3 linked regions of the Arabidopsis thaliana genome follow. The protein of the gene in region 1 interacts with the protein of each later gene in a pairwise test. Each region holds a gene or a part of one and is shown in the gene's direction. Other genes may lie near its edges.

Evidence for each region. The genes of interacting proteins can lie anywhere in the genome.
Region 2: the proteins of ABI3 (region 1) and ABI4 interact in a two-hybrid assay, tested with the Arabidopsis thaliana proteins (one study listed by BioGRID).
Region 3: the proteins of ABI3 (region 1) and WAVE2 interact in a two-hybrid assay, tested with the Arabidopsis thaliana proteins (one study listed by BioGRID).

What each region holds. Positions count from the first base shown.
Region 1 is NC_003074.8:8,993,673-9,002,934, forward strand, and holds ABI3 (AP2/B3-like transcriptional factor family protein), read left to right. Parts: upstream 1-3,697; 5' UTR 3,698-4,238; coding exon 4,239-5,918; intron 5,919-6,118; coding exon 6,119-6,211; intron 6,212-6,356; coding exon 6,357-6,457; intron 6,458-6,590; coding exon 6,591-6,637; intron 6,638-6,754; coding exon 6,755-6,831; intron 6,832-6,943; coding exon 6,944-7,108; 3' UTR 7,109-7,513; downstream 7,514-9,262. UniProt on the Arabidopsis thaliana protein: Participates in abscisic acid-regulated gene expression during seed development. Regulates the transcription of SGR1 and SGR2 that are involved in leaf and embryo degreening.
Region 2 is NC_003071.7:16,794,599-16,801,413, reverse strand, and holds ABI4 (Integrase-type DNA-binding superfamily protein), read left to right. Parts: upstream 1-3,828; coding exon 3,829-4,815; 3' UTR 4,816-5,167; downstream 5,168-6,815.
Region 3 is NC_003070.9:10,188,489-10,199,132, reverse strand, and holds WAVE2 (SCAR family protein), read left to right. Parts: upstream 1-3,919; 5' UTR 3,920-4,232; coding exon 4,233-4,369; intron 4,370-4,843; coding exon 4,844-5,007; intron 5,008-5,409; coding exon 5,410-5,533; intron 5,534-5,626; coding exon 5,627-5,756; intron 5,757-5,844; coding exon 5,845-5,912; intron 5,913-5,990; coding exon 5,991-8,169; intron 8,170-8,293; coding exon 8,294-8,386; coding exon of another isoform or gene 8,387-8,413; exon of another isoform or gene 8,414-8,486; coding exon 8,487-8,603; intron 8,604-8,730; coding exon 8,731-8,781; 3' UTR 8,782-8,996; downstream 8,997-10,644. Other genes in the region: AT1G29179 (cysteine/histidine-rich C1 domain protein), read right to left, coding at 1-271. UniProt on the Arabidopsis thaliana protein: Involved in regulation of actin and microtubule organization. Part of a WAVE complex that activates the Arp2/3 complex. Regulates trichome branch positioning and expansion.

The sequences.
Region 1 (9,262 bases):
GATTATGTTTATAACTTTGCATATGCGTATGCGTACGCATATGTACTGATCTTCTATTTCTTAACCTAAAACTTTTGTATTTGATGCCTTACTATAATTTCCCTGATCATGGACAAAAACATGTTAAGTTTTACTAGATACGTTCTCATCTAACTAGATACGACCTAAAATACGATATTTGTGGTTTTAGTTGTTAGATGTTGTGTCACACGAGAGAAAGAGGTCGACGAAGAAAAAAACAAAAAGAAGAAGTAAAACGTAGTTATTGGCGGACAAGGGATAAAGATTGCTTTGAAGTCAGAAATGCTGACACGTGGCAGCATATGAAGACAACCCGCCGCTTAAAACCACGAATGGTGACGAAAGGCTTCTTTGTTTGCATGTGCAACCAATCTCTCTCTTTCTCTCTGTCTTTACTAATTTTGGTTGTTCGTAGAAAATGAAATATTTGAACGAAGAAGATAAAGGTTGGTGATGTACGTATGACTCTAAATTAGAGTTTGATAATTTGTATGTAAGATTAGATCGGTTTTGTTATTTGCTTGATCCAATTTATTGAAGTACATGTGAATAATCGTGATATATGTCAATATATATGTGCTATAATTAAATCTATTAACAAATTTCTTTTTATCGATTTAGTTACACCATCTTTAATATATTTCTATTTTCTATTTTAAACTAAAGCATAGTTTCTCCAATATATTAATTTATATATTTACTCTAGGATAGAATTAGATTCAAAAACTAGAATAGAGAATATAGATGCTCTAAATAGACAATAATTCTATTACTTACTCTATTTTAGAGTAAAACATATAGTGATGCTGACAAAAATATTATTTTATAATAGAGTTTAGAAAGAAAAGAAAAAACAAAAAAAACTTGAAGATGCTGGAACTATTAAAAATTAAAGAAAAAGTTTAAAATGAATAATGCTTTTTATTCTTAGTTTTTTTTTTCTTTTTTTTCTTTTAGTTGATGTTAAAGTTTTAGTCAAATCTCCAAAATTTGCAAAAAAGATACATTAGTTACGGACGGATATATATTAAATAAATTAAGTCACAAATATCATATATATATATATATATATTAATTTTTTGCCTAGTTTTGTTCCAAATAAAATTTTCAATTTTTAGTGTACAATATTTTTCATCGTCCAAATACACAAACACAACAAATAATAATACCACTAATTTATTTGTTTTCTAATATAATTGAACCTTTTCTAATTTTATTAAATAGGCTGAAAACCATAAATTATTTGGAGCCAAGATTAAATTATGTTACATAAATCCTTTTCTCGTCATCAATACTCAAATTTAAATTTTTTTATTTTCATAGATATTTTTGGGAATTTAAAATCCTTCCAAATAAATTTGGGAAAATAATAGATGTTTTAAAATATTTTTGTTATTTTCGAGTAGTTTACACTGATTTTACATCACTTTATGGATCAAGACCATAAAATTTAACTACATTTATTATAACTTATTTGAAAAGACATGAAACTTTCATTAGAGTTTAGGAAAATACGGCAAACTATTAGATTATCACCCTCTTGTGACTAATGTTAATACTATTTGGTAAAGCAAATAATCCCATAACTAATTTTATTTTGATTTGTTCACTATCAATTGTATCATAGACGATCCGATGATTAATGTACCTAAATTTTGATTTAAATTGTATTCCTTGTAGTACGCATAGTAAAACAAAGTTCACATGTTCTTTTACAATTGGTTTTCTAACATTTTAGATTTCATTTTAAACTAAAGAAAAAGGGTTTTTCGATCCCAACAATTTTTAAAGTATGTTTTTGAATTTCAACAAACGACTAGTACTGATATATACATCAATGCTTACAAAAATCAAATTATCTATCTCAACGTTTACTTTTGTACGTAATTACAAGTCAATATTAACAAATATTAGTCAACTGTAACGGTTGTTGACTCAATTGATACGTGTACGTTTAGGTGGCATGTTTTTTAATAAAATAATTTTGTTTTATGTTTTGGGATTAAAAATATTTACTTTTAAAAAACTAAACCGAAAAACTGGAACCCCCAACCTCACATATTCATCACCATCGTATCCACAAACATTATCGAGACATAAATAATAATTTATAGATATATAGCAACAAATTGGAATTAAATTAATCAAACAATGTCATTTAGAATTGGGGAAATCCTAACCGACGTTATATGATTAATTTTAATTCCAATTTATGTATGTGTATATATCTATAAATTATTATTTATATATTGATGATGTTCGTGCATGATGGTAATGGTAACCTTTAAAACTTTTGAATCTCAAAACGTAAAACAACGTCATTTGGTTTGAAGAACATGCCATCTCGACGTACAAGTGTTAGCTGATTCAACAACCGTTACTGTTAATTACCATAACTAACGTTGACTCATAATTATGTACAAAAGTAAGAGTTGAGGTAGATAATTTGAATTTTTTAAATGTTAAAGTATGAACATTACTAATTGTTTGTTCAGATTTATAAAACACAGTACCTATTTTGATGTGTTAAAATGTAATCGGGAAAATAGGAATTTTCCCAAGAAAAAAAAATACACTAAAATTTTGATGTGTTAAAATGTAATAAATACAAGTACCTATTTCTTTCTACAACAGGTATCACATGATCTGCTCAATCTCATTTTGAAGGCAAGGTCGAACCCTGTTTGTAACTAAATATTTTACAAATACACTAAAAGTTTTGTTTTGTTTTCCTCATGCAGAAAAAAGAAAAGAAAGAAGAAGAAAAAAAACTCACAAAAACATACATTGTTCTACAATATGTTAAAGTAATTGTTCTAGGGTAATAAAATCCGTGTCTGCCTCTTCCACTTCAATAGGAAAGTGTAAGTTTTTCGAATCTTTTTGGCCAGATAATTTAAAACCGACCGAGGAAACTTACTTTTGTAAAAGTGACCATTTGCACATAGGAAGTAGAAAGTTGATAATTGGAAAATTTATAATATTTTATACAAAAGAAGTGTTTAAGAACCACCGCTTGGTCTCACCACTCAAATTCGAACGTATGGCTCGTGGGCACAAACTCCTGTACCAACCTTTAGATACTAGCGGCACGAGGAGACTTCTATTTTCTCTTTGTTTTTAAGTTTTTTTATCGACTTAAATATGGCTTTTTGCACCATTTAATTTCAAAACCAATGTCTTTCTCTCGAGGAACTTTGTTTTTATTTCTTAGAAGATGAGGGGAGATTTACTATCTAAATAAAATTTTAAATGTTTGTAAGTATTATGAGCTCAACAATTTTGTCAATAGTGCCACAAATTTAAACGTTTGCTTTTTGTCTTCTTTGAAAAATCAAATGCTGAAAAACTGTTACATCTCTTTTTCTTAAAAACTCTTGTCTCTCTCCTTTTCCTTCTGCTGAGGTAATTGAATGCTGCAAAGAGAAAGAGAATAACTTAAACCCAAAATTACACTTACCGCCAGAAAAAAAAAAGAGTTCAGTTTAATCTAACATATTTTATACAATACAATTGAATTATATTAGTAAAAAAAAAACTTCCATATAAATCATGGAACAAACTGGAACACATGGGCTCTCTTATTTTAATTTATTTTCTTTTTTGAGGGATTTAACCATGTTTATTATATAGTTTTATAAATATATATATACCATCTCTCCATAATTTATAAAATGAAAGAAAGAGAGAGTCTTCTTGTTGGAGTAAACCCAAACGGTTTTAGATTACTTATTAGCTGTTCATCAGTTCTTCCTCTCTAAAAGAGTAAAACCTAAACATCTCTCTCTGTTCTATTAGAACCAAAGACCAATCTTTGTGAACAAAACACATCTCGTATACTTCAGATCTAGACTCGAAAATTTTAGACCTCTTTACAATTGGTCTTTGTTCATCTGAAGTTGGAGAAAATAGTTAGCTTAGGTCGGATCTTTTCATATGCTTTGGATCCTCCTTCGTCTCTTTTGTATAATTTTAACCTTATCAAGAGTTCTTTTTGAATCTCAAAAGATTATATAGTAGTATAGAAGGTTTATATGTATATGTATAGCCAGATAGTTTATGTTGTTTAAAGATTCGATGATAGCCAAGTTGGGTTAACTTTCTTTTTCCTTGCCTCCTTACTCACATACAAACCCTATCTGTCCGTACAAAATACTAAAAACCCTAACTTTTCTCTCTCCACCAATCTAGTTTATTGTTTCATTTCCACTTCAACGATGAAAAGCTTGCATGTGGCGGCCAACGCCGGAGATCTGGCTGAGGATTGTGGAATACTCGGTGGAGACGCTGATGATACTGTTTTGATGGATGGAATTGATGAAGTTGGTAGAGAGATCTGGTTAGATGACCATGGAGGAGATAATAATCATGTTCATGGTCATCAAGATGATGATTTGATTGTTCATCATGACCCTTCAATCTTCTATGGAGATCTCCCAACGCTTCCTGATTTCCCATGCATGTCGTCTTCATCATCGTCTTCAACATCTCCAGCTCCTGTCAACGCAATCGTCTCCTCAGCCTCTTCTTCTTCGGCAGCTTCTTCCTCCACTTCCTCAGCTGCTTCTTGGGCTATATTGAGATCAGATGGAGAAGATCCGACTCCAAACCAAAACCAATACGCATCAGGAAACTGTGACGACTCTTCTGGTGCATTGCAATCCACAGCTTCCATGGAGATTCCATTAGACAGCAGTCAAGGTTTTGGTTGCGGCGAAGGCGGTGGTGATTGCATTGATATGATGGAGACTTTCGGGTACATGGATCTACTTGATAGCAACGAGTTCTTTGACACCTCAGCTATATTTAGCCAAGACGACGACACGCAAAACCCTAACTTGATGGACCAAACCCTTGAGAGACAAGAAGACCAGGTCGTTGTTCCGATGATGGAGAATAACAGTGGTGGAGACATGCAAATGATGAATTCTTCCTTGGAACAGGACGATGATCTCGCTGCTGTGTTTTTGGAGTGGCTAAAGAACAACAAGGAGACTGTGTCGGCTGAGGATTTGAGGAAAGTAAAGATAAAGAAAGCTACGATTGAATCAGCGGCAAGAAGACTAGGCGGTGGTAAAGAAGCGATGAAGCAGCTTTTAAAGCTGATTCTTGAATGGGTCCAAACTAATCACTTACAAAGAAGACGCACCACCACCACCACCACCAACCTCTCTTATCAACAATCATTCCAACAAGATCCATTTCAAAACCCTAACCCTAATAACAACAACCTAATCCCACCGTCCGACCAAACCTGTTTCTCACCTTCAACATGGGTTCCTCCACCACCACAACAACAAGCTTTTGTCTCGGACCCGGGTTTTGGATACATGCCTGCTCCAAACTATCCGCCACAGCCAGAGTTCCTTCCTTTACTTGAATCTCCACCGTCATGGCCACCACCACCACAGTCTGGTCCCATGCCACATCAACAATTCCCCATGCCGCCAACCTCGCAGTATAATCAATTTGGAGATCCAACAGGTTTCAATGGATACAACATGAATCCGTACCAATATCCTTATGTTCCTGCAGGACAAATGAGAGATCAGAGATTACTCCGTTTGTGTTCCTCAGCAACTAAAGAGGCAAGAAAGAAACGGATGGCGAGACAGAGGAGGTTCTTGTCTCATCACCACAGACATAACAACAACAACAACAACAACAACAATAATCAGCAGAACCAAACCCAAATCGGAGAAACCTGTGCCGCGGTGGCTCCACAACTTAACCCCGTGGCCACAACCGCCACGGGAGGGACCTGGATGTATTGGCCTAATGTCCCGGCAGTGCCGCCTCAATTACCGCCAGTGATGGAGACTCAGTTACCTACCATGGACCGAGCTGGCTCAGCTTCTGCTATGCCACGTCAGCAGGTGGTACCAGATCGCCGGCAGGTAGACATGCACAATCATCTTTCTCATTGTTTATTCTTTAATTTAGCAATACTCGAATAGTTTGTGTAATTGCACCACTCGTTTGGTTTGATGAAGAAGCTAAAGATTTTACATGTGTTTTTTTTGATAAAATGTGAATCGGAAGATTATACATTTGCAATGGAAATGAAATGATTTTGATCTTTTTGGTTTGATTTTAGGGATGGAAACCAGAAAAGAATTTGCGGTTTCTCTTGCAGAAAGTCTTGAAGCAAAGCGACGTGGGTAACCTCGGAAGGATCGTTTTGCCAAAAGTAATTTTTCTTCTAATTTCTTGTAGCCTTTGCTTTCCATTTTCTAAAAAAGGTTCAATGTTTGTGTAAAAATATTGTCAAGTTTTTATTTTATTTTTACTCTTATTGGTTAAGTTATATTTTACTGAATTTTTATTTTTTTTAGAAAGAAGCTGAGACACACTTGCCGGAGCTAGAGGCAAGAGACGGCATCTCTCTGGCCATGGAAGACATCGGAACCTCTCGTGTTTGGAACATGCGCTACAGGTAACTGATTATGATGCTAACATGTTAACATTGATTCTTTTTATAAAAACAATTCGTGTATTTTGTCAAAAATTGGAACTCGACCAAAATGTTTTTTCGGTTATTTAATTGTCTTCTTAAATTGGTTTTGCAGGTTTTGGCCTAACAACAAAAGCAGGATGTATCTCCTCGAGAACACCGGTACGTTTTTGAAAATGTACCCGTTAATAATTTTCCTTTCTTTTGGTTTGTTTGTTCTCTTGTAATTATTGTTGTGGACGCATACATATCTAATTTTCCTTGAAATTACGTTTACAGGCGATTTTGTGAAAACCAATGGGCTCCAAGAAGGTGATTTCATAGTCATATACTCCGACGTCAAATGTGGCAAATATGTAAGAGAAGCATCACAATATTTTTCTATACTTTTCATTAGTATTTAACTCTCATCATTACTTTTGTTGGTATTTATCTTGTCATAATTAATTGAGAATAATATTATGACAGTTGATACGAGGGGTTAAAGTAAGACAACCGAGCGGACAAAAGCCGGAGGCCCCACCGTCGTCAGCAGCTACGAAGAGACAAAACAAGTCGCAAAGGAACATAAACAATAACTCTCCGTCGGCGAATGTGGTGGTCGCTTCACCAACTTCTCAAACTGTTAAATGAAAAACAGAGACAAAAAGAAACAATATAAATATTATTATGTACCAAATAAGAAAGAGGGCAAAAGGAAAAAATGGCAGCGTACCCGAGTGTGCCACTTCTCGTGCATGCATGGGATCTTGAAGACAAATGGAGGGTCATGATTAAAGCTGTTTGGTCGGGGTCCGGGTTTTTACTCCATTTTTTGCTTTTTCTTGTCGAGTCGGTTCTTTTATAACTCTTTACTCTTTTTACCTTCAGGATATTGTAGAGATGATTAATTCTGGAAATGGTGTTTGTGTTATATTTCTGGAGAGATGATTATATAGTTCTTTTGTTGTTGTAATTGGTTAATATTACATATGTGGCTCATTTCTTGAGTCGAGCTTACATATCGTTTATAATGTGAATGTTTTAAGAAGAGTTGAATGATACAATATTTTTACACAAACATTGATAATGATAATAAAAATGATAATTAATGTACAAAATTATTTGTAAATATGGACATATGGACAATTTAAGAAGGAATTGAGATAATTAATTTTGTACATTAATTATCATTATCAATGTACAAAATTATTTGTAAATATGGACATATGGACAATTTAATGATAGTAAAAATGATAATTAATGATAATTAATGTACAAAATGATAATTAATGTACATATGGACATATGTACAAAATTATCCATATCATTCACATATTCACATTGTAAATATTTGTAAATAGAATGTTTACATATGGACATTTTAAGAAGAGTTGTTCCTTACCACTTTGATTCTATCATTTTCTTGTTTATCTAGTTAGCTTGAACCCTTTGTATTATTGAGTAACGAAAATCTTTGGAGGAAAAAAACAAGTGAGGTAGGATTATAATTTTCCTCATATAAGTGTGTTGTTTGTGATACATCATTATTCTTTCTTATTTTTGGTTAAACCCAAAAACTGGACCGCACCTAAGGAATTGAGATATTCAAAAAAACAATGATCTGACCCGTGCCAAATATCCACACCACACCTTTCTCCATTCAGGCCCTACTAGAAAGCCGTGAGACGGTTGACAACTTGAAAACAAAAGACTTATAATGAGACTATGAGAAACAAAAAAGAAAGTGGAGTTGATGAAATAATCTGATCTTATGAAAGTGAAGTTGATTACAAAAGGAGCAGCGTGGTAGTTGAATAGTTTCAGATGTTGATAAAGACGTGACATACATAGTTGTCTCAGTAATCTAATCAAGGACTCCTCATGTTTCTAACTTCTTCTTCTATAAAGTTGCATGAGATTTATATCTGGAGAACATATATTGCTCTAATTATGTGGTCTTATTATCATCAATATATGCCTTTTTCTACATATGAATATATGATCGACATGTATAGATATTTTTTGTTGTTCAAAAAAAAAAAATGTATAGATATTTTTTTCATTTTCCAAAAGGATTGAATTTCGAAATGGTGTAGCCACCTTAGAGGTATACAACAATAAATAATTTTCCCGACTTGTAACAAATGTTTGGAACAAAAGTGTCAATTAGAATCAAAGTAACCATCAGATGCCTTTTATAAATTTCTTTATCTATGATTATTTTTTAACCAAATTCAGACACTTCTATATTACTAAAAGCCAAACTTGATATCTATTTCAACAAAAAAATTTTTTTTTAGTCTGCTGTGACTCAGTATATCTAATTGTTTTCACATCATTCATAAACTTTTACTAGTCCATTGTAAAATACAGTATATTAGAAATTGTTTTCCTATCTATATATGCTTAGGTTTAAGAAAACAACTTTTGGCCATGAATATTTGAGTTTTTAAGTGGTTTTGGATTATAGATTTTGCCAAAAGGAAAAAATATTGATTTAAAATTACAAAAAGAAATCTGCAAACAATTATCAAAAACTCATTAAAGTGGGATTTATTTTTCATTTTGTTTACAAAAATGCGAACTCTAATCTTGATTGGATAATTAAATGGGTTTTTGGAAAACCAATAACTATGCTATAAAGTATAAACTACTACCATTCAAGCCTTCTATTTTTCTATGCCAAAAAATACTACGCAAAAAAAATTGAGCGTGTTTGATCCAACAATAAAACAAATTACTCAATCTTGTTTGATGTCAAAATCCAAATCCAAAATATGTTTCGGACACCTGACCGGTCTACTC
Region 2 (6,815 bases), on another chromosome or scaffold:
TTGTAAGATTGCTTTATTTGATTCAAAACTCTGATTATAATGTAGTAACATTTTTACATAAATCAATAATATTTGAGATTTCGAGGTGTTATCGATGAAAAGCAAAACGCTAAGAATTATCATACATCGGAATAACTCATAACACATTTGAAGTACTTTAGTTATCTTGATTGTGAGATTCAAGATAGAAGTGGGGAAAAATGGTCTATTCCCGAAAAACGTTTGTTTCCCTGCGAAGCTACTTACACAATCTTAGAATCCGTATAATTGATTCATTAACAAACTAAATAAACATAGCCAACATCAAACAAACTAAGCAAAAAAACAAAGGCTTTGATCGGCAAAGATTCAGATGAAATTTACCCTTTACCTGTAAACAGATACAAATAAATGGTTTTGGTTAGGTTTGTTTAGTTTGTGTATAGTTGCAGAATTCGTTCGAAATATATAGCTAATTTGTTCAGGATTTAAACCTTACACTTAAAATGGACGGATTATAAAAAAGGAATGGACCAGAAAGCCCAATATGAATGCTTCTCCATCGTCTATACTATAGAGGCTTGGTGAGTGATTTGAGTTGAGGTTCTTGAAGCCTATAACGGCTTTATATGTTTTAGGACCTTACTGGTGTTTTTTCTTGGGCATTATTAGCCCAGAGCATTCATTTCACTGTGCGTTTTGGAAAATAGAAATGTTTTGAATCGTTAACAAGTTTTTGGACCTTACTGGTGTTTTTCCTTAGGCATTGGTTGAGAATTTCGTAAAGGTTTTTTGAGAATTCATTTTTTTTTTTATATAGACGCACACATAATCTTAGCTGTTGTTTAAAGTGCAGCCCACGGTTTGTAATCGTGGGCATGTGAATATTTTTATCATCTTGCTCGACAATATTCCTCTGCCGCAACAACCATTTGCTTTTTTTTATATGAAAATATTCAAACATGAACACTTTCTATCTTTCGAAACATATATTTGATCCGTTGCAGAACTTAGTGAGCAAAGCATTGAAATTCTTTGCCTTTTGATATAGTCATCATTTTAACTTAAGCATCTGGAAATCATTTGACTAAAAAAAAAGCCTTCAACAATGTCTCTTTAATGTTATCAAATGTTTGAGTCATTGTTATACAAAATTTCACGTGAATGATTGAGATTGGAATAATCAAGCTATATTGATTGATACTATATAATAAAGTGGATAAATGCAAGAAAATGAATGTATGGCGCAACTAGTTGGGTTCTGCTGAGACATAAAAAGGTGAGAGTTCCAAGGCAATTGGGTTGAGATCTCAGAAACCACAACACAAAAAGCTTTGGTTCTTTTGCTGTCTTTGCTTCTTTCCTCGCCACCTCATCTCTCCCATGCAATATTCCTATTTTTCTCTTCGTTTAATAATTGATAGTTTTGTAGTTGGCAAACAACAAAAGTAAATCCCTTGCAGACGAATCTTTAATTCTATATTAGTAGTATCAATGAAAAGTTTCTAAGTAAACTTGTTATTATGACGATAGTTCTAAGAGTTATGTTTTATAGATTAAAAGGAGTCATGTATATGCTACCATTCATAAGAACAATAGATAATTCAACAAATTCTTATTTTATTTATTTTTACTTTTAGTAAAAGAATATTAAGAAAATTTGTCTCTTAATTTCAATGGTATAAGATCTAAGAAGTCAAGTTTTTATTTCGAAAAAAGTCTAAACGTTAATGGTCTTCCATTTGTTATATTTGTGGGTCAAACATCATAATCTATACGGTAGATTAGTCTTTCTAGGCGACCAAAAAAATAAACTCTCTTCTCTTCTCTCTGTTTTCAAAATTCCTTTTCTTATAAAAAATGTCAGTTATATTTTGTTTTTAATATTTCTTAAAGTCGAAGCATACATAAATGATGACAAAAAAAGAAAGAAGAAGCGTACATAAATATCTACACTATAACTCCTCTTTTTAATATATTTATTTATTTATCCATTGACATGTGAGTATTTTAAATTTCTACATAATTCTTTTTTAAGATTAATAAAAGGTGTAGTATCCAAAATCTAAATCTATCGGACGAAGTATTTGACTGAAGCCAAGTCGTCTTCCAAGAATGGTGTTAAGTGGACTAAATGAACACATATATCTATGTAATGAAAGCAGAAAAATAATTACTGTGTCTCTCTGCATCTGTATTTCTGTCCCTCCAGTGGCTGCAGCAGGCAATGGATCTGCAACACTCTCCGAGTGCGCAAATCAACTTATTTTTCTTCTCCAAAATTTAACAAGTACTACTCCAGAAATATGATTCTAGTTTTTACTTATGTCCAAAAATATGATACGTGTTGTACCAGATGTTTTTCCTCCGATCCCTTAATTATATCTATGTTTACAATTTTATTTTACGTATAAAGATAAAACATCAAAAAAATAGTATCATAAGGTGATTTCCCAACAGCTTAAATTTTTCTCTAAGATCATAATCATCAAGTATAGAAGCTTCGGTTAAGTTCAACACTAAAAGTTAGATTAAAACCAAATTAGGGGCGAATATGGTTAGACCATCTCCAATGGTCACCTCTATAATTTTCTCTATTTTAGAGGTGCCTCTATTTTAGAAGCATTGTGCTCCAATGGTCACCTCTAAAATAGAGTTTCCTCAAAAATAGAAGAAAAATTAGAGATGAATTGTAGAGATCTCTATTTATAGAGACAAAAAGTAAATATTTCTATTTCTTCCTCTATTATAGAGAAAACTCTATTTTAGAGGTGACCATTTGAACATAATGCCTTTAAAATAGAGTCACCTCTATAAATAGAGGAAAATATAAAGATCACTATTAAAAATGCATTTAGATCTTTTACTAGGGTTGTTGGTAATGGTAGATTAATTACCTTGATCCTTTTTAGTATACTTATCTGTTAATGCTTGTTAACCACTTAAATTGCAAGAGAGTTGAACAAAATTGGGTAATTCATGCCACGCTTTGTAATTATTCATTGATTAGTGTTTCATTCTCTACAATTTATGGCTAATCAGCCCCCGTTAGCCGTTATGTAATGATTTATTCTAGTTTCATTGCTTGCCAACTTTAAACGATGCTTTTAATTCTTGAACTCATAAATCATTTTCTTTGTTATCTTTGTCTACTGTTTTATTCACTTGATCTTCTTAATCTTTTAAATTGCCTATCTTTTGCTATGTTTTTGTTACAATTTAAATTGACAAGTACTTAGAAAAACAAACAAAAATGATATCTCTGTTCCATCTTAGATTATTCGTTTCTTATTTCTCTTAATATATATTTTTGAACACGCTTATTTCTCTTATATATGTTGCAATATTCCTAACCTTGGTGAATTTGATTCAGTTCTCTCTGGTTGAATCCTCTGAAATCTGAATGCCTTGGAGTGTTTTCAACATGCGAGTATTTCTCACAATTACCCATCCAATCAAAGAAAAGAACCAACTTCAAGATATTGTTATATATCGCTCATGATTTGCTATAGTTACCCAAAAGAAAGAAAGCAATTAAATGTTTTTATAATATCCTTGATTACATTCCAATGTGTAACAAGTAACTTATGACAACACAAATTTCTTCTTTGGTAGAAAACAAACGGGTAAGTAAAAAGAAAAGAAAAAAAGAAGTGAGTGAGAAGAGAGTGTAAGTATAAATAAAAGAAGCACCGCCCTAATCGACCATTCACAACGATGACATTCAAACACTCTTCAGTTTCCCTTCCTTCTTGATTCGTCCTCTCCACTATTTTTCTCAATTTCTTTAATCTCTCTCTTTCTCTCTCTACTTCCTCTTCCTCTTCTTCTTCTTCTTCTTCTTCATCTATGGACCCTTTAGCTTCCCAACATCAACACAACCATCTGGAAGATAATAACCAAACCCTAACCCATAATAATCCTCAATCCGATTCCACCACCGACTCATCAACTTCCTCCGCTCAACGCAAACGCAAAGGCAAAGGTGGTCCGGACAACTCCAAGTTCCGTTACCGTGGCGTTCGACAAAGAAGCTGGGGCAAATGGGTCGCCGAGATCCGAGAGCCACGTAAGCGCACTCGCAAGTGGCTTGGTACTTTCGCAACCGCCGAAGACGCCGCACGTGCCTACGACCGGGCTGCCGTTTACCTATACGGGTCACGTGCTCAGCTCAACTTAACCCCTTCGTCTCCTTCCTCCGTCTCTTCCTCTTCCTCCTCCGTCTCCGCCGCTTCTTCTCCTTCCACCTCCTCTTCCTCCACTCAAACCCTAAGACCTCTCCTCCCTCGCCCCGCCGCCGCCACCGTAGGAGGAGGAGCCAACTTTGGTCCGTACGGTATCCCTTTTAACAACAACATCTTCCTTAATGGTGGGACCTCTATGTTATGCCCTAGTTATGGTTTTTTCCCTCAACAACAACAACAACAAAATCAGATGGTCCAGATGGGACAATTCCAACACCAACAGTATCAGAATCTTCATTCTAATACTAACAATAACAAGATTTCTGACATCGAGCTCACTGATGTTCCGGTAACTAATTCGACTTCGTTTCATCATGAGGTGGCGTTAGGGCAGGAACAAGGAGGAAGTGGGTGTAATAATAATAGTTCGATGGAGGATTTGAACTCTCTAGCTGGTTCGGTGGGTTCGAGTCTATCAATAACTCATCCACCGCCGTTGGTTGATCCGGTATGTTCTATGGGTCTGGATCCGGGTTATATGGTTGGAGATGGATCTTCGACCATTTGGCCTTTTGGAGGAGAAGAAGAATATAGTCATAATTGGGGGAGTATTTGGGATTTTATTGATCCCATCTTGGGGGAATTCTATTAATTTGTTTTTGTGGAAGATCATATTATATACGATGAGCATCCCTAAGGTCGGTCAAGAGCATTGGAGATTCATTGTTGAGAGGAATCAAAGAGATTGCATTCTATGAGGAGCTCTGCATGCAAAATTTTGGAGGATTTTTTTACTACCTATAGAGATAAATAAGAGGGTATTTTTATTATTTTTTTGAAGATTTTTATTTTCAAGGAATTCGTAAAAGAGATTACGGTTCCAATAAAGTATGTATATGTGGAAGAGAATCGGAGGAGATGGTGGAAAGTTGTATGGGAATTTTATTGGTTCAACACTTCCTTCACAGTGTGCCTACCTTAATATATAATTATTGATAGGATATGATAATTTCTGTTTGGTTGTTCGAGTTTCAGAGGTTATATATAGTTATATTTTGTTTATCTCTGAGAATATTTACACATATCTCTATTAAGTTTTAGTAATATAGGAATCATCAATGTAGAAACTATGGAGAGAAACACGTTTTCAAAAAGTGTTCATCACTGGATGCATAATTGTTGTCGTTGAGAAGATTATTTACATTATTCGAGCTGGGTATTCTCACACCAACACTTCATATTCAAGTTTACAATTTTTTGTATCGATCATCCTTCAAAGTGTTTGGACATGATTTTGTCCGAATCCTAGCTTTCTTTGACTAAAAAGAGTTCTCCGTTTCTGTATTTCCCTTGTCCTGTGATTTCTTGTTTACTATGGTGTTTATTGGAAGTTGACAAGAAAAAATCAATTTTATTTTTTGTTTATGATTATATTTCGAATCTTTTAACAGTATTATACAAAATTTAAATTAAAAATAATCCCATATCTGACTGGGTTATACATGAATATTTCAATATTAATAATTAATTTAATTTATAATAATTATATATACAAAACACAACAAAATAGATTATTATATTTTCATTTGTTATATGAAATCACAACACTTTTCTATATCTTGGTTACGTAATAATTTAAGTGCACAAATATGGGTATGGTGATTCATATACTAGATAGAGATTGACATAAACTTTTCTAGAACCGATTATTTTGGTAATCAAATCATACAATGTTGTTTATGAAAGATCACCAGACAATGTGGAATAAAGCTTAGTTTTATTGTTTTCCTCTATATCTTGGTATTATTGAAATCTGGCAAAGTAGTACCAAACCGAATCCAAAAAAAACAAAATCGAGAAACAAAGAGAGTTACTACGTACACAAAAGAAAACATTCAACCACAACAACACAACGATGAGAGAAAAAAGATCGCTAAACAAAGAAAAAGAAAAAGATACAAGATGTCCATTAGAGTTTTAAGAATATATTATTCTCTTATATTTTTCCCTTAAAAGTATTGTTGTTTCAGTTTTTTGTATAAAACAATTATAAACAATTCTCAGTTTAGAGTCTCAATGTAATAACAAGAAAACATCTGAAGTAAAAAAAACAATTTATAAATAAAGAATTCAAGAGTCAACTTTTATGTATACATATGGTAATACATATATATATATATTTAATTCATACTATGTAAATATGAAAATGATACTTACACTGAAGAAAATGTATAGTCAACATTTAGTTTCCAAAATAATTATCTAACACTATGAATTAATATGATTCACAACAATGAAAATAATGTTAGTCAATATAATCATTAGCATTAAATAATGACAGAACAATTAATTAAATCATCAATTTGGTATATTGACTAGGACCTAAATTTGGACAGAAATTCAGTTATTTCAATTTTCTGTAATAGTACAATTAACCACATAAAGATTTTAACATGTTAATGGTTTGATTTGGATTTTAGTTTTTGTTTACTAGTATTGTTTTTAAAGAATAATCAATGTAAAACCAAATCCAATATAGTTTGGTAAATTTTTAATTAGCTTTGAATTCAGTTCTTAAACTTTTACTTTTTTAGCAAAATAAGTTTCATTTTTAGTCAATTTTCTATGGTATTTATGATATTTGAAAATAAC
Region 3 (10,644 bases), on another chromosome or scaffold:
TTTGGAGAGATAATTCTTGAGTAATGAGTGATATGAGATTCCTTAACGGCTCCGGCTGGGAATCCAAATCCATGGAGTTGAAAAGAGAGATTGTTTGAGCTATGAGTGACATGAGCTTCGTCTCGGGCTTCGGCTGCGAATCCAAATCCATTGAGCTAACGAGAGATATTATTTGAATAATAGTACATGATACGAGCTCCAAATCCGAAGAGTTGTCTAGAGAGATGAGCTGAGTAGCAAGTGATATGAGCTTCGACTCGGGAGAATCCATAGAGTGCAGAGAGAGAACGATTACTTGAGTAACGAGAGATTTTGAGTTTGAATGTGATTAACTTAGTGTTTCTGAATTTCTAATTGTAATAAAAACACATCTTACACATATAACAATGTTAGTACTATATACGTGTGTTAGCTTACAGGCTGTCCGACTACGAAGTCAACGATCGATTTATAGATTAGATATGTATAAATCATCGGTAGTTACGTAGTATTAGTCTACAATATTACAACTAGTATTCGAGTTTCTAAACTAATACTAAGAATTAGCCTACGCAATTACTTTCACAAAACAACAAAATCATTATTGAATGATCTTTCCTTTATGAGGTTGTCCGAACGCAAAGTCAATGATCGATTTAGAGATGATAACAGATATAATAGTGCAACTTGCTGGCATTTATATATGTTGAGAATCTATCACCCTCGAACACGTACCAACTGATCACCAAGATCAGGCGGCTAAAAAGTGCACTCGGTCTAGGAGTTTCGAATACTTGAGTTAAAATGAAATTTTATCTAGTTCATATCTTTGTATATAGACTACAATACAAAATAGTGTATTGGCAACAACGAGACCATTACTATGGGTGTTAAGTGTTAACATAAATTGTTTGTATCGTATCTACTTATTTTCATGCTTCTCTAATGATTATATATTTGTATATTACATCATACGTATTTTTATCATCAGGTTCGAGTATAATATTTATTTTGAAACTACAAAGCCACAATGAAATTTGGTTTATTCACTGTTGGTGACTTTCCCGCCACATTATAGCTGGTGTTGGAAGCTCATTAATTTGACTAATCAAAACAACAGAAAACAGATTCAATAATATTTCTTACAACAAGAGCAATATGTTGAATACAAAATATGGAACAAAATATTAATCGAACAAACACCGATATTATATTATTTTGTATGGACAACACTTCATACAACCTATATATGCAAAATGGTCGAGACATATGAATATATGATTGTAGGAGCAATGAGACCATGACTCTAGGTGTTAACACAAATTGTTTGTATCATATCTACTTATTTGCTATCTCTTATATGATTATATATTACAGTCATACATACCCTTATTATCAGGTTTGAGTTTAATATTTGTTTTGAATTTAAAGCTTCATTGTTTGATAAATTAAATCTAAACACTATATGGACGTAAGCCCCGTCGAAAGATAACAGAAGTCTAAAGCAAAATTAAAATTTGTTTTGTTCTAATTTCTTTCATTTCAAAATTATAAAGATATTAATTCTAGAAAATCCATATAGTTATCTCATATATGACAATAAAATATTTAATCAGTACAACTCTACCAAATAAGCAAAATATAAGCAATTATAAAAAACTTATAACAAAAGGATAAATATTTTGTATTCAGTTTAAGAATTTAAAACAAAAATAGATTACCTGTTTATGGAACTTCGGTTTTTGTTATGGTAGAAGGTAGATTACACAGAAAGAGAATAAGAAAGATGATACAAAGGATTTTAGGCAGAAAGAAATAATTATGAAATTGCATGGCATTGTTAACATAGACTAGAACTCTGTTTTGAATGCATAGATTATTTTTTCGAAAGAGAAAAACTTTCATATCACATGATTTTTTTATTTTTTTTTGGATACAATCATACATATAATGTTTGATGGATGAAAGACAAAGCGAACGCCAAGTATAATTTGTTCATAAAAGATCAGATTTTATGATATCTGGTGTTTACGATATCGCCACCAGAAGTATCCGTCATTTTGAAGACCAAGTTGAAACACCATAAGGGGTTGAGTTTGACAGCCTCCCTGTATGGCTTCCTCCCACTTCTATATAACACCAACAACTCTTAGTTATGCTTCTTCTTCTTATATTAGTTGAGAATGAAATTAAGATTTTCTTCAATATCAAAGTTGGTGTTTTAGATACAATTGAGTCTTATTATGAGGTTTTGGGTTCTTTTGAAATCCTTTGATGTCTCTTCTTCCATGCAAGTTCGAATTGTAGGATACAAAAAAAAATGTCTCTCTTCTCTTGTCAACTTGAACAAAACCACTTGGAAGATGATTTTCCGTGTTCTATATGCTTAATGACATTACTGCTTCTTGATTTCCTCTTGTTTTTAACCCAAATTGGTCTCTCCCCAAAGTATAATCTTCTGGGTCTTTTTCTTGTAAAATTTGGCATGCTCCAAGATCTATATTAGTAGCTATCTCTTTTTTTTTTGGTTTTTGGTGGTTGTTTGCCTTGTTCACTCCTCCATATATAGTAACTCTTAAACTGTCGAAACATTACCGTATAACATGTTTGTTTGTAGTGATTATTTTAATCGATGTTAATATGCATCAGTTGCAAAAAAATGATATTAATTTTGCATCATTGAATATAAGTGATTTATTATTTGTATCAATTTATCAAAATAACGTTAATATTTGCAACATTTATAATAAATAATTTTAAGTGTTTATATTAATTATAATAACTTATAAAATAATACTAAATTAGTTTTTATGAAACAAATATCTTTATTAATTAATATTAAGCGAACACTTAAATTTAGTTGGGATAGTAACTTTACACTTTTTGGACACCATCTAAAACCAGAATTATGTAACTTTACATATATAAAAAAATTATGGAGGTTTTTTTTTCCTTCTGTGGGAGATATGTGGTATGTAAACAAATTGAATAAACAATTATATCAGTTAGTGCAACTGATGCTAAATCTGTAATTAGCATCGGTTATTATTGATTTAAATTTTGTATCACTTTCTAAATGATTAAAATTCACATATTTGTATTAATATTGTGAAAGTGAGGCAAATAGACCTAGATTTGCATTAATTTTAATGAACTGATGTCACACAAACTAATACGACATCAGTTATTGCAATTGATGTTAAATTATAATTTTTGTATCGATTGTAAATAAGTAATTCAAATTAGTATTTTTTAAATTTTTGTTGCAAGTTAATTGATACAACTAACCTTTTTTGTAGTGAGATTCTTGAGACATAATATCCCTGCCTCTTCTTCTTCTTCAATTGTTGGGGTTGTTCTCCCAATCATAAACATTCTGGTGGATGTAAACATAAAGAGCAAGTGATTTTAACTCTTGTATAGAAAACTAGGAGTCTTGAATGCATTGGAGAAACCACTTTGCATCGGATATGCTTAACTAATTTACCTAGTTCCAAGAATTATAAATGTGGAATTCCACGATTACAATTAAAAATTGTCTACATTTATTGTATCATACTAGAACGTACTATTTGTAATATGTCCATCTCACTCGTTGGACTTTGTTTCAACATGTAACCAACCCAACAATTTTATTTATTGACAAACAAACAAATCCTTACTCAAATAACTACAAAACTTGACGAAACATTTATTTGACATTGACATTCTCTCACTTTTTTTCCGAAAACCACTTCATTTTTAAATTACAAAATCGAACATTTATTCTGTAATCAAAATTAGAATTTAATGTTCATATCGTGCGAACCAATAACCTTTCTTTGAACCAAAAATAAAAATAAAATCCTTCTTTTCTCAAAACCCCATCACGTAATAACACACAAAATACAAGGGTAATTTGGTCTTTCTACTTTTCTGTAAACCCCCCACTGGTAAATGAAATTGGAAAGGAATGGCTTGCGATATTGGCAATGTCAATGTCTCTCTCTCTCACAGTCTCTTTCCCTCTCTGCCTCCAAAATTTCCCTCTCTGTTTTTGAGCAGTTAAGCTGCCTCATCAATCTCACTCACCAGAAACCCATCAACAATCATTAACCTTTTTCTCGTTTTCATCAAAACCCATTTTCTCAATTTCTTCAAAAAAAAACCTTTTGATTCTTTCTCCTAATCCTTTTCCCAGCTCTCTTAATGCTTTAGCCACAAAACTTTTTGTATCTCAATGTGTGACAGTTTTGTACCTTTTAAGAGAAAAAATGCCACGGAATGTATACGGTATGAACCAAAGCGAGGTGTATAGAAATGTCGATCGTGAAGACCCTAAAGCAATTCTCAATGGTGTTGCAGTTACTGGACTTGTTGGGGTCTTGCGTCAGCTTGGTGATCTCGCTGAGTAAGTATTCAATTCGAGCTAATGTTGCGTCTCTTTTGGGTATCTCTACTGTTGAATGATTCTTTGAGCTAGTGGTGAAGTTAAAGATGAGAATCATTACTTTGTGTGAAAGTAATTGCCTTTACTTGTTTAAGGTAATCTAATTGGTGTTTGTAGCTACAAATTTGGGAACCCATTTTGATTGCATGATCCTTTGAAGTTTTTGAGTTAAGCTTTAGCAAAAAGGAAGAAGCTTTATTCATTTATGATTCTATGATTGTTGTGATGTTTCTATCAATCATTCTCCATTTTTGCTGTGTTTAGTTTTGTTTCATGAGCTTAGTTTATGTTTCTTAGCAACTCCTTATGTGGTGACTCTTTATGTCGGCTCTGATATCAAGCTTAGTTTGGGTTTGGAGTGATCTCTGGTTGATAAGGGTCATTTTAGCACAAAGGAAGAAACTTTCTTATCGATTGCTTTTTCTCTTGATTAAGGTTTGCAGCAGAGATATTTCATGGGATACAGGAGGAAGTTATGGCTACAGCTTCAAGAAGCAATCAGTTAAAGATTAGATTGCAGCATATAGAAGCTACAGTGCCTCCACTAGAAAAGGCGATGCTTGCACAAACAACTCATATACATTTTGCATACACAGGAGGTTTGTTTTGTCTTCTTCCCTCTTGTCAATCTTCTTATTGTCTTGACCCAAGGTGTCTGATTCTTGTTAGGTTTCACATTAATTCTTTTAATAAATTATGTCACATCCTTAGTTCATTGTAGGCCTTCACATGCTTTTTCACTTACCCTAAAACTAAAACTTTCTCTGACGAGGCTAGTTTAGAATCTGGAATGATTGAGAAACTAAATCATTGTATCTTCTGCAAAACCTTAAAATAGATTAACTTAAAATTGAATTGATAGTATTAGTTGTTTGGTTCCCCTTGGCAAACTTTTATTTATTGTATTGAAACCGTGGAAGTAATGGGTGGTGAGAAAGTGGTCATGCTTGTATTTTTCTTACTTTATATCTTGTGAACTGAAGGAGTTTAATGGGGTTCAGGTCTGGAGTGGCATCCTCGTATCCCAATTACGCAAAATCACTTAATTTATGACGACTTGCCTCACATTATTATGGATCCCTATGAAGAATGCAGGGGTCCTCCACGGTTACACTTGCTTGATAAGTATGCCTCAAGCTAAAATATTTATATCTGATATGTATGTACTATGTACTATAATCCATCATGTTATACTGATTCTTTGCTTTATTTTCTCAGATTTGATATAAATGGTCCTGGATCTTGCTTGAAGCGATACTCAGATCCTACTTATTTCAGAAGAGCATCAAGCAACCTGAGTCAAGGAAACAAGAAGTTCCAAAAAGATAAAAAGCATTGTAAAATGAAGGTGTGGTTCTCAGATTAAATTGGTAAACCATTTTCTGTAGAATTCTCTTTTACTTGACACATATATATCTGTTTTCTGGCATGGACAGAAGAAAAAAACTTCGTCAAGGAGTCGAGATATGTCACGTTTGGCCTCCTTGGCTAACCAGAATGCCAGGTAAATTATAGATATTGTTGGCATATTTAAGTTTCCGTGCACCTAAAGAATAATTAACTCAGACATAGTTCACTCCAGGAAGACATTTGCTTCATTTAGCTTCAGTGGACAAACCTCTTCTACCAAAACCACCTCAACCAGTGACATGGAAAAAAGATATGATTTTCAAGATCATCATTCTCGCTCTTTTGAGTCCAGAAGTGGTTCAGGCTACAATGAATGCCTTTCAACTGCAACTTCTTCACTGAAGACTGGAGAAAGACCGAAAGGGGTGTTCGTTTCATCCAGCTTGACACCAGGCTCTTGCACTATTGCTTCAGTCCTTTCTGAATGTGAAACCGAAGATGCTCATGATAATTTCCAGTTTAGTCCTTCTCAAGGGCAAGCTGCTCGTGGCTCTTCTTGCGTTAGTTGGGATGAGAAAGCAGAGATAGTGGAATCTCTTGGTCTGCAGACAGATGAAGCTTCTGAAATGGTGGAGGCGAACTCTGTTGTAGATACTCTAGATGAGAAACCAAGCTATGGGGAAGGGATAGGTGGAGTTGATTTCCATTCTAAGGACAATGAAAATGATAAATCAGAATCAGGACTACGAAAACGTGCTGGGATTGATGAGGTAAGAGAGATAAAAAATGGTCGGGAGATTGTGGGAGAACCGAGGGATAGTGAACAAGAGACTGAAAGCGAAGGGGAGTGTTTTGTTGATGCGCTTAATACTATCGAATCAGAATCTGAAAACAATCAAGGGCTTCAAACTAGTCAAGTGAGCAGTTCCTGTGGTGTTGCAGATGAGAGGTTGGAAAAGTCAGTGTGTGAGCAAGAAACAGAGCAGAATTCCTACAGTGTCGAAGATTCTTGCAGATCAATGGATGGGCTTATGGCCAACAGTTTTAAAAATGAAGAGAATGCATCGTCAGAAAATGTATCTGTTGAAATGCATCAACAAAATCTACAGGCGGGTTCAGATATCAACCGCTTACAAAAAAATGATCTTTGTGCAAACAAGGATATGCGTAATGATTCTGGTGGAAAAGATACCATCACATTTACATTTGTGCCAGGTCTCGAGAACAGCTTAGTTGATTCATCAAACCCCTTGATTCATCATGGCCTACAGGAAAATCAAGAAACAGAAGCTGAATCTTCTGGGGATCTCGAAGCCTTTAAAATATGGACTAATGGTGGTCTATTGGGACTGAAACCATCGAAACCTCCAGTCTTGGCAATGCCAAGTTCTTTAAGTCCAGATTGCAAGACCGAGGAAAGGACAGTTGGTTTTGCAGAAGCTGAAAAAGATAAAGCAGATGATCTAGTTGAAAATGCTTCACATAGACATGTTCTGAATAATTCAAGCTTAGCAACGCCAGGAACCCAAAATCCAGGTAGTTCAAATGGCATAGTCATGGGTATTGTAGACCAAAGAGAGTCCCATGAGACTTCTTCTGGAGTTTTTGGACTCAGCCACAAGTTTCTTACTAGTGGTTTCCGCAGAAAGGATTCATTTGCACATGATAGAAAGACTGTACCAGCAACGATTCCAGAGAACGATGAAGTGACTACAGAGAGGAGGAGGTTTTGTGACCAAGATATTAATGAGAAAACCTTTATGGACCCCTTCAGAGACGAAGCTCCTATTGATTGGATCACTTCGTCTCCGCCTCTTCAACACATGAAAATATCTCTCAATCCCGCTGACACTCTTCAGGCTTCGAGACTGAAGCTTAAATTTTCAGATGGAGACAACACTTACAATACCTTTTCCTCCTTCCAGTTGCTTCCAGAGACTGGAACTTCCCTTCCTGATTCTTATTCTGACGACGACACTTTTTGTAGATCATCTCCTTACATGTCAGATACCGATTATCTTAGCGATAATCACTCCTTGTCAAATTCTGAGCCGTGGGAAGAATCCAGTGACAGCCATGGAAGAAAAGAGCAAGAACTATATGATTCTTTCCACGAAAGTAGGCATGTTGATAACAATGCTGAAGCTTCCCCTCTAGGGATCAAATCAGAAAGTTCTTGCGTCGCCGTAAACCTCTCATATCTCCAAAATCCTGCTGAGCCCTTACCACCGCCATTTCCACCCATGCAATGGATGGTTTCAAAGACACCTTCAGAGAAAATGGAAGACAAAACACAGTCCCTACAACTACAAGAAGCTCTCAGGTTTGCGTTTGAGAAGCATATTTCATTGCCTACAGCTAAGAACGAACTGCCTAGCATGGTGACTTCTGCTCCTAAACCAGAAATTAAGGTATGGAGAAGATTTTGACTCTTTCTTCCTACTTTTCTACAGTGTGGGTCAGTTCCATATATTCCAGATGATCGTTTTCAATATAGTTCAAATTACGAATCTTAACAAGCATATGTTCTCATAGGCCCATCTGAAGAATAATGTCAGGGAGGAGAAACAAAGTGCCAACGCAAAGGAGACTGAAACTGGAGACTTCTTGCAACAAATCCGAACACAAGTGAGTGCAAATAGTTCCTTTTTGTGAAAGAAAGTTATATTCTGATGCTTGATTTGTTATATCATCTTTTGCTACATTCTTGGTTTCTTTCAAATCAAAGCAATTCAACCTTAGGCCTGTGGTCATGACAACGACATCATCGGCTACTGCAACAACTGACCCTATCATAAACACTAAGATCAGCGCGATTTTGGAGAAAGCAAACTCAATACGCCAGGTTCATCCTCTAACTTCTGCATCTATATATATCCAAAGCAAATCTAATCTTTATTTCAGAATCTAAGTACTTTTTGTCTTAAATCCAACACAACATTATCTATCACTCACTCTTTTCTTCTTTTCAGGCTGTAGCTAGCAAAGATGGAGATGAAAGCGATACATGGAGTGATACGTAAAAGCCCTTTATCAGATTCCATTTCATCTTTGTAATCTACTCTCTGAACGACATAAATGGAGAAAAGGGGTTCAAGCTAGTCCTGCAAGAATTTTTTGTATTTTGTATCATATCTAATGTGTGGATTTGTGTAGGTGATAGTAAATTTTGTCGAGTGTGATCTGTATCTTCAAGAAAATAAAGTAGTGCAAGAAATAAAAATGAAAGTAAAATCTATAATGCCCATTCATCTTAAGGAAAACTTTCTAGAACTTGGGATTTTAGCCACGAGCTTGCTACAAAAAAAATTCATGACCATAAAGAGCTAAACTTAAATTAGTCATGGACTTTTATCCTAGAGCAACTAAGAAGAATCCATGGTCATAGTTTTTTTTTTTTGTAGTACCACTAAATTTTATAAACAAGATCAACATTTGACTTGATATTACCATCAAAGCAAGTCGGCAATAGCAACATTGAACGACAAAACAAAGTAATGATTCACGTTTACGGTTATTCGATATATTTCAAGTTACGAATGAGAAGCATATGTTCTCATAGACCCATCTTAAGAATATTGTCAGGGAGGATAAACAAAATGCCAATGAAAAGGAGACCAAAACTGGAGACTTGTTGCATCAAATCCAAACACAAGTCAGTGTAATCGATTCTTCTCATGAAAAAAAAAAGTATTTGGATTCTTGATGTTATATCATCTTTAATTGCATTCTTGATTTCTTCCATAGCATAAATATTAATTCAACCTGAGACTCGTGGTTTCCACAACGACGGCCCTACCATCAAAATTCAGATATCATCACGATTCTATTTTGGAGATATGAAAACTTTATACGTTAGGTGCATCTTCTGATAATATTTGCTTGATTAGTTAATTAAGATTGTAATTCTCCTCTCTAAATTACTCTATGCACGACACCTTAGGTTGCGGAGAGACAACCTATAAAAGGGTTTAATCTTGTTATGCAAGTAATTCTTATTGTGTCGAATATCTCATGTGTTTATTGTGTAGTTTATAAGTAAATTTTGTCGTACGTGATATATACCTTCACGAAATGAAAATATAAAATATATACAATGCTACGTTTTTTTACGTAGTGGAAGTAATAGATTAGTTTTTGTTTGAAATGCATTATAAAAAAATATGTTTTTCTATTCGATCTCTGAACTATATGGAAGAGTATCAGTTTTGTGTCAGCTGTGCTACCGTTTCTTGAAGCAATCGCGCAGTTTAAAAAGATTGAAGGAGAAATATTATTTTTAAAATTTAATGGATTATGGATTTGATGATATAAAAAAAACTTTAAAAAAATATCAAAAAAGTGAGTTGGCAAGTAGAGGTCTCAAAACACTTAAGCCGTGAAGTTCGCTTACGTTGTGGCCTTTAATTGTTTTCTTATACTATTTGCCACTGGAATCAAAAGATTAAAAAATAATAGAGATTATGTTATTGTGTGCACTGTATTAATTTCTTAATGTCTGTCTCGCATTTATTAATATCGAATATTAAATCTTAGAAATTTGCTTGTGGACATGTGATGGGATTATTTTTTTCTAAATGGGATATTGAAGTACTAACAGTTTTTGTGGAAAAAATGTTTCTTGAACTATAGAAGTATGGATGACAGAATTATAACTTCAGCTGGATGATAGAAACATACAGCATAATTGTGTCTACACATTTTTGTTGTTGAAAGTGCCCGTTTAATGATTGATCAAGAGCTTAGTATGGTAGTATCCTACGTACATTAGCTAGGTCTTGCGTTCAATCCCAAACCCGGGTAATGAGTATTTCAAATTTCCAAAATTCGAAATTAATTTTTTTAAATAATTCTCCTCAATTCCATCCTTTTTCTAAAAAAAGTTG